Linked DNA regions of Nothobranchius furzeri. The protein of the gene in region 1 binds, or shares a complex with, the protein of each later gene. Links are inferred from orthologs where the notes say so. Each region holds a gene or a part of one and is shown on either strand. Other genes may lie near its edges.

What was found.
Region 2: the proteins of thoc2 (region 1) and thoc1 are in contact, whole or in part, in a cryo-EM structure (PDB 7ZNL), measured with the Homo sapiens proteins. The link is inferred for Nothobranchius furzeri from reciprocal best matches to the Homo sapiens genes THOC2 and THOC1. Residues at the interface, in NP_001075019.1 of Homo sapiens: Leu155, Phe156, Tyr157, Lys158, Gln160, Asn163, Leu164, Leu165, Arg166, Asn169, Glu170, Ala173, Lys174, Ile176, Ala177, Gly180, Gln181, Asn195, Lys197, Ser198, Leu199, Ile200, Gly201, Cys202, Phe203, Asn204, Leu205, Pro207, Asn208, Arg209; in NP_005122.2 of Homo sapiens: Asn134, Arg138, Asn141, Leu144, Arg145, Lys149, Thr153, Cys156, Gly157, Gln160, Leu161, Ala164, Arg165, Phe167, Gln242, Phe245, Arg246, Tyr297, Ala299, Lys300, Phe301, Arg319, His320, Leu323, Gln324, Ile327, Tyr331, Arg373, Phe374, Lys376.

The regions. Positions count from the first base shown.
Region 1 is NC_091750.1:48,346,529-48,351,108, forward strand, and holds the start of thoc2 (THO complex subunit 2), read left to right. Parts: upstream 1-1,635; 5' UTR 1,636-1,703; coding exon 1,704-1,768; intron 1,769-3,469; coding exon 3,470-3,525; intron 3,526-4,580. UniProt on the Homo sapiens protein: Component of the THO subcomplex of the TREX complex which is thought to couple mRNA transcription, processing and nuclear export, and which specifically associates with spliced mRNA and not with unspliced pre-mRNA.
Region 2 is NC_091751.1:49,147,844-49,152,450, reverse strand, and holds the start of thoc1 (THO complex subunit 1), read left to right. Parts: upstream 1-1,693; 5' UTR 1,694-1,742; coding exon 1,743-1,790; intron 1,791-2,443; coding exon 2,444-2,517; intron 2,518-2,596; coding exon 2,597-2,657; intron 2,658-2,727; coding exon 2,728-2,797; intron 2,798-2,952; coding exon 2,953-3,071; intron 3,072-3,171; coding exon 3,172-3,220; intron 3,221-3,309; coding exon 3,310-3,405; intron 3,406-3,514; coding exon 3,515-3,597; intron 3,598-3,683; coding exon 3,684-3,757; intron 3,758-3,831; coding exon 3,832-3,940; intron 3,941-4,049; coding exon 4,050-4,184; intron 4,185-4,325; coding exon 4,326-4,426; intron 4,427-4,508; coding exon 4,509-4,575; intron 4,576-4,607. UniProt on the Homo sapiens protein: Component of the THO subcomplex of the TREX complex which is thought to couple mRNA transcription, processing and nuclear export, and which specifically associates with spliced mRNA and not with unspliced pre-mRNA.

The DNA.
Region 1 (4,580 bases):
AATCAAATGTAAATGAATGGTTTCTAAGCATATTATTTCACATAGATACTGAAATAATCCTTTTTAATGAAAACGGAATGGTGTTACTACAGATGCGGTCATCTGTTTTTATTTTCTTCTATTATTAATGGGTGCAAAGGTAATGCATTACTCAAATAGAGTCACATGACTAATCAGTGTGCATCTAAAAATATTTTATTGTTGGAAGCATTTACAATGCCATACATAAAACTCTGTCTCTAGTATATTGCTCTTTGTATATTAAAATAGTAACACAACCATACCATGTTCACATTTTTATTTAAAAAAAATGGTTTGAAAATGGTTAATTAAGTTGTTTTTTCAGTTTTGCATAGGATTTATATGAAAATGTTTCCCCACTGATTCATGTTCGATTCCAAACTCATTTGGTTATCTGTGTCTCAGAATTGTTCATTATAAAATATTAAGCGTGTAATATATTATGAATGGGTGATTATTTTATAAGTTGAGTAAAAAGCTGAATGTTACCTTAACATTAACCCACTAATTTGAAAGTATGCATCCACTGTAGCTTGTTTTTGTTGGATTGTTGTAATTTTTATTAGAATTTCTTTTGTGTACTGCCTTAGTTGGCTAATAATTCAGACTATAGAAGGTGATGTTCATGTTGTAGCTATAACAGAACCCTAATTTTCTCCAAATGTCACTGTAAAGAAAATCCCAACATGGTCATAAACGTTACTACAGTACTGTAAAGTATTCTTGTACGGCAAATTAGACTAATTATGCATCTTAGATGCCTGCAAATGTTTACTCAAGTCACTTTGGATCTTTGTTTTCACCAAACTGCTGAAAACGTGCATACATCTGTGTTTATACATATTTTAAAATTTTTTTGTGTTTCTCTTCTATTTACAAAGTGCCCATTGCATCCTTGAAGATTTGTATTTATGTCTGAAGATGTAACATAACCAAATAAACCCTCTGAAGCTTGTGACTTTGACAGGTAGAAAAATGTTGTCATTTAAAAACACACTTTCACATCTTGTAAAATGCCAAATGCTAGTAACACATTCATTTTCCCCTCTTGCTTGCAGAAGTAGTAGTTTTTGTAGAAAACGCTTCAAATTGACCTTTTTAAACTTTAAGCATAAAACAATAATGACTGGCAATAGTAAACCATTTAGGAAACTCGTGTGGACACAGCTCTGAACAATCCCAACGAGTAGCACCGAGCTAGCAACAGCGGCAGCTAACATCACATTTGAACCTGTGTGCCATCACAACGATGAACCACACTTTAGGTGTTGTGCCGAAAAAAGCACCCCTGCTGTAGAAAGCATGGCCGTAGCAAGAAACGTAGAAAACCACTTCATTCACTAACTTTACTTGAGGTCAGCAGTGATGAACTGGCTCCTGGTTTTCACTGCTGTTATGAAAAACATTTTTATTTTGAAAATAACTGCGATATACACGTAAAAGAGTGTTTCGTGGTAGTTATTTTTCTGACCAGGAGATTTTAAAGCCTTTTATAAAAATAGCAAAATAAATAACGTAAGTTAACTGTTCTGTTAATCGCAGAAAAACAACACTAACCCGTTTGTGACTTCTTATAAATGTATTTGTGATTGAAACTGATTGTGATGTTTTTCCCTTGTTTGGGTCCTTTTCACGATACGGGTGAATTTTTTTGGCACAACACCAGGCAGAGTATATTGAAGATGGCGTCTTTTACCCTCCCTGGTGAATGGATCAAAAACTGGGAAAAATTGGGAAAACACGAGTTGTAAGTAGATTTTATGTTGTGCTTAGTTTGTTTAGGGGTTGCAGCAACATAAAAACAATAAGCTTACTTTAAAATCATGGCTAGCACAAAGTAACGTTAGCGAACAGCTCAAGAGGCTTATCACTGTCGAGTAAACAAAAATAAAAAATGTTACTAGGCGTGTAATTAGTCAAACGCATATTACAAAATTCGTAACATTTAACATTAACTGGCTTGTTATTATCTATCTACATATTAATGGTCTGGCTAGATTTGTAAACACGGTGGCTATCGAAGCTAAGCTAGTAAAAAATCTATCTGTTATTTGGATCTTTTTCAGCTACAAACTTGATAAAACTTCGTATTAACGCTCAGGTACCATGCAATAGCAAACCCACGAGTGGTTTGAAAACAATAAAATAGTTTTATGTTTTATAACTTTGACCCAATCATGTGGAGGGAAACAACGGATCGTAACAGCTAGTTAGCCGTAATGTTAGCCGCAGATTTTTTTTGGGTGAAGCGACGTGTTAAATGTTCTGTATTTGGACTGGACGTGGGAATGAAAAGATGCAATGTTTGATGATCGGATTTTATCAAACTTTGTATTTCTGATCGATTAAACGTCTGCGTTAGCGTCGGAGACTGAGTAAAGACCAGGCCAACATCTGGGCCTCAATAATAAAGTTTGACCTGTGATATTACCTAAAAAAAAACCGTGAATAGTGTTTGAATGTGTTTTATTAAGCAGAAGCATTAAGCATATCCAGTCACACCGTAAGCTGATCCACACATTCCTGGCTGCTAGTTACTATAGGCCTTGCATCGAGACAGGCCTAGAAGCACTAGACCTACCAAACTACTATGATGGTTGTGTCTGTCAAAGTCAAAGTCAGTTTTATTGTCAATTCTACCACATGTGCAAGACTTACAGAGAAATTAAATTGAGTTATACAGAGAAATGAAATTGAGTAGCTTCTGGTTAATAATATATAGTTAAGGCGATTGAATAAAACAGATTGATATTAATTTGGTCAGATGTAATATCACATTGTTCTGGTGATCATCTGTAAGACAAGACCAACATTTTTGGACTCAAGCAAAACTGGTTTAAAGGAACCAAAGAATCAACAAGCTGGCATAGAAACTACATATCACTAAGTTACTTTGTTTTGTTTTGTTAAATGTATTATAATGGAGACTTTATTTTGTTCAGTCATTCTTCACCCAGTGTAATAGTGTTTGCTATGATTCATTTTGAAATAAAACATCACATTTATCTTTGTTAAAAGTGTTTGAAAGAAAAATACAATTACCCACTCACCAATTTATATGGAAAGCTGATATTTGACTTGTTATTACAACATTTAAAAATGCTTTCACATCAAGTTACAGTCAATCTAGAGCAACATCAAATAACTACATAAGAAACCTCTGTGTACACAGGTTTATACTGCTTAGCTGAATTACACATATGCCCAAAACCTAAGCACTTCTATTTTTCATTCACCTTTCTTGACTGAATATATATTATTAGAGGTTGGCGGTGTATTAAAGGCAGAAACTAAAGGATTTTTTGTTATATTAAACAGATCTCTGTGTGTTTGTGTAGTCTTCCTTTTTAGAAGTTTATTTATTAGGCTGCAAAACAGCTTTTTATTGCCATATATAAGGTAACAGACATAGTAACTATATTTTTGTCTCTTTTTTTTTACTTTGTAGTGTACAACTCTGCAAAAAGCTCACAGAGAAAAGTGAACATGGAAGTGAAATCAAAGGTAAGCAGAGCTTGATTTTTGTGTGAAAACGTAGAAACATTACGTAGAACCAACACACCACTTCATAGACAAGCTGTGGTAAAAGTTTCCCTCTTATAAACCAACATAACTAAAAATTAAAATTTATTTTGACACCCTTCTTCCCAGGGGTAGGCACTTTGTAACAGTTTTTACTTAGCTGCTTGGTGTTCATTCCAATGACTTAAAAAAAAAGAATTAACCATCTGTGATGTCACCTATATTTTTCTTAAGGGCTTGTTTGAAACAAAATGGGCAGTTCCCACACTGCCATCTTGGCCGTTTAACTTGTTTTGTCACCACCACCAAATGCAAAAAAAAAAAAAAAAACATGGGCAAAGAGCTGGAGCTGAGTGTGTAGCTGTGAGGGTGGGAGCAAATAATTGACACCCATCAATCTCTGAACCGATATAGCTATGAGCTAACTGAGCTAACATGAAGCTAGGAGTTAACCGTTGACTGTTAAAATTAGGGTTGTCACGGTATGAAAATTTAACCTCACGGTTATTGTGACCAAAATTATCACGGTTTTTGGTATTATCGCGGTATTTTTTAAACGGTGTTGCATATGTTCAGAAAGCATTGATAGTCCTGTTCTACACAAACTGAAATAGTTCTGAAAAGGTTTAACAGTGTTTATTAAACCTAAAATAACACAAAGCCTTAGCAAAAGTGCAACTTTTCACAAGTAAAGAACAAATAGCTTATTTTTCTGGAACATGTTACAGTAGTCAGTGCAGGTTTAAATTATACAAATCCAAACATTCGAAACATAAACAATATGTCAACAAATCAAATAAACACCACTTGTTTTCTCATATACTTGTTTTCTTCATTATCAAAATGAAAATCTAAAACTCCAGTCCACACTTGACTTGAGCACTGTACAAGTCAACCTTAAAAAAAATATGTATTTAAAATAAATAGCAACTTTAAACAAATTACTAAAATAACTACTACACTATGTAATCAAATCCAAATGTTCAAGTATAAATGGCATTGAATAAGTAAACAAATCAATGACAAGGAACTAATTG
Region 2 (4,607 bases), on another chromosome or scaffold:
CTTTGCTCCATGGCAGCTCAATCAAATATTTTTCCCTATTTCATTCCTTTTCTAGTCTGACCGTCTTATCTTTTCCACAAAGTTAGACTATATGGACCAGTGTCTTATCAAAACTATGTCAAAGGTTGTAGAAGTTACAGGCACGGACAGCGGGATGAGCGTGCCTCGCAAACATGGAACTAAGCCTCAGCATGCAACCTAAATATATTTGTTCATTTTACTTTTTGGTGCAATTGGAGGTATATTTTTGAAAACTCGTTGCATAAAAGCTGAACAAATTATCTAGGGAAGTTTAATTGAACAAAATAAATAAATTATTTAATTAATTAATTAAATCACCCATTTTAGGTAGAATGTAGAAGATTTCTCAATCTTCTTGCCCTAATCACAACCTCAAACCACGCACAAATCACTTTTAAGAGTGCCTCCCAGCACAATCTCCAAGTTTCTCATCGTGCTTACTCCCTTTCTGCTCTTCATCAGTTTTTGGCAACAATCTGATGAACTCTGAGTAAGATAAGGGATGGGAGAAAATAGGTATTAGTAAATCACTCCTCACTTCCCTTTTTCATGAACACTACAACCACACACGTGAAGGAAATAGAGCCTCTCCTGCTTCCATGTGACACTAAACGCCTCCACTTCACAAAGTCATTGTTCTTCTCTTAACATCAGCACAGCCACCAAAACACTGTCACAAAAAGGTTACAAACACCCATCAAAAGGAGCTGAAAAGGATCATCCTTGTATGTAAATCCTAGAGGTCTTGACCTGGATCAAAACAAGCTTCAGTGTTCTCACATGGGTTGAGTAAATCTTTAGTTTAATGATTGTTGTCTCAGGGTAATGGAGCGGTTATTCTAATGTCAAATCGGACATTGTTAGACAAGCAGATGGTATCAAAGGATTCAAGGCCTGCAGCACATAGCTGAATGTTCATTTGCATGATTAGAACATGTGGAAGTGCACACCAAGACAGGCACACATGCAAAACAAACACATTACAACTGCTGTGCATTGTGACCTGTCAAAGTCAAATATTTATTAACAAGAAAGGACAAAAATTATTTCGCTCTTTCCGTTAAAATAAATATAACTTTGAAATGCATACAATATAAACAGAGTGACGTTATTTTACAAGTATTCAATGGCTGACACAACTTATTATTATTATTATTATTATTGTTGTTGTTGTTGTTGTTGTAATTATTATTATAAAGAAAGTTTGGAACATGACTCTTTAAAATAAAAATCAAGTGTAAGATTTTTTTAAGTGAGTCCTGGCCAAAAGGCAAACTAAACCATACAGTGGGGAAATTAGGATTAAAATAAATATTAATACTGTTATTTTCAGGAAGTAGAAATACTAATTTTAACTCACCATTTGAAGAAGGTTTCCATGCATCCATCACTTACAGCCACTCAGAGTTTGATGAATGTAAGCAAATTAAAAAATAATGAAAAACTTTAACAGCAACAATGGTGTACAACACTGCCATCGTGTGGTCAAGATTGCTATGCTACGGTTTATTTCCATTTTTCATCCAAAATGGAAATAAAAATGTGACTGACTGAACTATTTGAAACTAAATTAAAAAATACAAAGTTAGTTTTATCCTAACTCCGTTTATAGATAATATGTATTAATGTATAATTTTGTCAGATAATTCCCTTTACGTACAAAAACGCCACTTCATAACCGGAAGTGATTCGTTGGCGGTTCCGGTTTCAGAAGCGTAAAGATGTCTCTGTCCTCATTTAATTTTGTCGACGCTAAAGAGAAATTTTCGGTGAGAAGTGGCTTCTTTCTGTCATTTCCATCCATAATATATTTGTATGTAAGACAACTTGTTGATAAAACCGTAAAAAATCTTAACTTCACTACTTTATGGTTGTGCTTGTTGTACTAGTGTAGTAGTTAGCCAAAGAAGCTAAGCTAAAGTAAACGCTTCTGAACGGTCCTGTTGTTTACGAGGTTGAAGTTAGCTTCCGATTTGGAAATTGGCTAAAGAGCATTTGCACTCAATTTTATTTACTATGACCATCTTTAATCTGCTCTATTTAAAAAAACTACAATGCCTAGACAGTTCAAACCGGGACTGGAATATTCTAGACTAATAGCAGATTCCATAAAGCATAGTTTGTGATTTGTGAAACCTTTTTCAGATTTGTGAAACTTAAAATAGGCAGATTTTGAAGTTTCACAAATCACAAACTGTTTTATGGAATTTGCTATTAGTCTAGAATAATCCCGTCCAGGTTTGAACTGTCTAGGTATTGTAGTTTTTAAGATGAAGCAGATTAAAGATGGTCACCGTATATAAAAATTGAGAGTGGCCTTGGCCTTAGCCATTTCCCGAATCGGAAGCTTGAAAACGGAAGCAAACTTCTGCATCGTCTTTTGTTTCTCATTATGTCCTTTCCCATGCTCACCCAACCGTAGGCTGCAAGCACACAAGCACTAGCTGGTAAAACCTGCAAACCCCTAATCGCCGTGTTTAACCAACTCCCCGGCAAGTAAGTTGTGCTCCTGGGTCGAGGTTCCAGATCAAAATAATCCAGAAATACAAATTTACTACTTGTGTGTTTTTGTCAGTGAGACGGAAAAGAAGACCACACTGGATCAGGCTTTGAGGAGTGTTCTTGGTGACCAGATTGTAAGTTTAATAAGTTAGTTAATTTAAATTTGAAAATATGTGAGAATCGCTAATGATTGTTTCTCTCTAGCTTGAGCAGAAATCATGCTGTGATGACTATCTGTCTCTAATCTACCAGAGCATCAATGCTGTTACTGAGGGTATGTTATCACTACTGCTGAGGTGGATATTTATTTTAGATTAGATGATTTTGGATTTTAAACATACATGTTGAAAGGATCGCTTTGATATAAGTTTTGGTAAAACGTCTCTTAAAACAAATGACAGTGTAACATTTATTCTGTTTTTAATGCAGGTATCTGTTCTGCTACGACTCCTTTTGTCCTGCTGGGAGACGTTCTGGATTGCCTTCCCCTTGACTTGTGTGACAAAATATTCTCTTTTGTTGAAGAAAATGTCTCTACCTGGAAATCGGTATAATTACAGGCATTTTTTTTTGTAAAGGCAACAAAAATATTTCTCTGTTTTTGTTAGAAGGTTTCATTATTGTACCTGTGTTGTTTCTTTCTTCCAGAGCTCTTTTTACACAGCAGGAAAGAACTATTTGTTGAGAATGTGTAACGGTAAAAATCTTGTCTTTTTCTCTGTCATCCAAAAGACTTTCTATTCTCAGAAAGTTCAGGTGCAAGTGACTTTTGTTTCATCTGTACAGATCTTTTAAGGAGGCTGTCGAAATCCCAGAATACAGTATTCTGTGGGAGAATCCAGCTTTTCCTGGCACGTCTCTTTCCTCTGTCTGAAAAATCCGGTAAGAAAGTCAGTTATTTTTCTAACTTGAAGGGGAAAAAAATCAAAGCACTTTACAATCATATTGTAAACCTCTCAATTAAATAGATTTTGTGTGTGTTTTAATCCAGGTCTCAATCTACAAAGCCAGTTTAATCTGGACAACATAACCGTGTTCAATAAAAATGAACAAGAAAGCACTCTTGGTCAGAAGGTGAAGTATTGTTAGGTTAATTATTAGGTTAATGAGCTCATCCTTTCCATCCTGTTTCATCTGTTTTTTTGCTACTATGTTGACAGCACGCTGATGAAAAGGAAGACGGCATGGAAGTGGAGGAAGGAGAAATGGGGGAGGATGACGCCCCGGCACCGTGGTGAATGAAAACCATTTGCTGTATTTGCTCACATTTTCACCTTCATGAAATAATAGTACCCTTTTGTTCCTTAGTTCTATTCCGATTGACTACAACCTGTACAGAAAGTTCTGGACATTGCAGGACTACTTTAGAAATCCGTTGCAGTGCTATGAAAAAATCTCATGGATTACTTTTGTTAAGGTAATCCACCTCGGTGCAGCAACTCTGACCAATTTGACGGATCACTGTCAATATCCAAGATGAGGATAAAAAAATAAATAAACTTGTGTGTTGCTTTTGCTTTGCTCAGTACTCCGATGAGACTCTTGCTGTGTTCAAAAGCTACAAACTGGATGACATGCAGGCGTCAAAGAGGAAGTTGGAGGAGCTGCGAGCGTCTGATGGTGAACAGGTTTACTTTGCCAAGTTTCTCACGAGCGAAAAGGTGCAGAAAAATCATTAAAAATCTTTTAATCATGTATAAATAAGCAGTTTTTAACTGACTATGGCTGTAAGTCATATGTTTTTCTGTCTTAAAAGTTAAACTTCATTGTTTTGGGATTTTTTTTTTTTTTGTAATCTGCAGCTGATGGACTTGCAGCTCAGCGACAGCAACTTCCGGAGACACATACTGGTGCAGTACCTGATCCTGTTCCAGTACTTGAAGGGTCAGGTCAAATTCAAAAGGTGAACATTTGTGCAACTAAACAAATATCACTTGTTGGGATGGAATTAGTTCATGTTTATGCTTTTTGATTTCTTGACACAGCTCAAGCTGTGCTCTGAATGATGACCAGACTACATGGATTGAGGAGACGACTAAGCTGGTGTTTCAGGTCAGTTCAGACACGTAGGACCAGAAATCAGG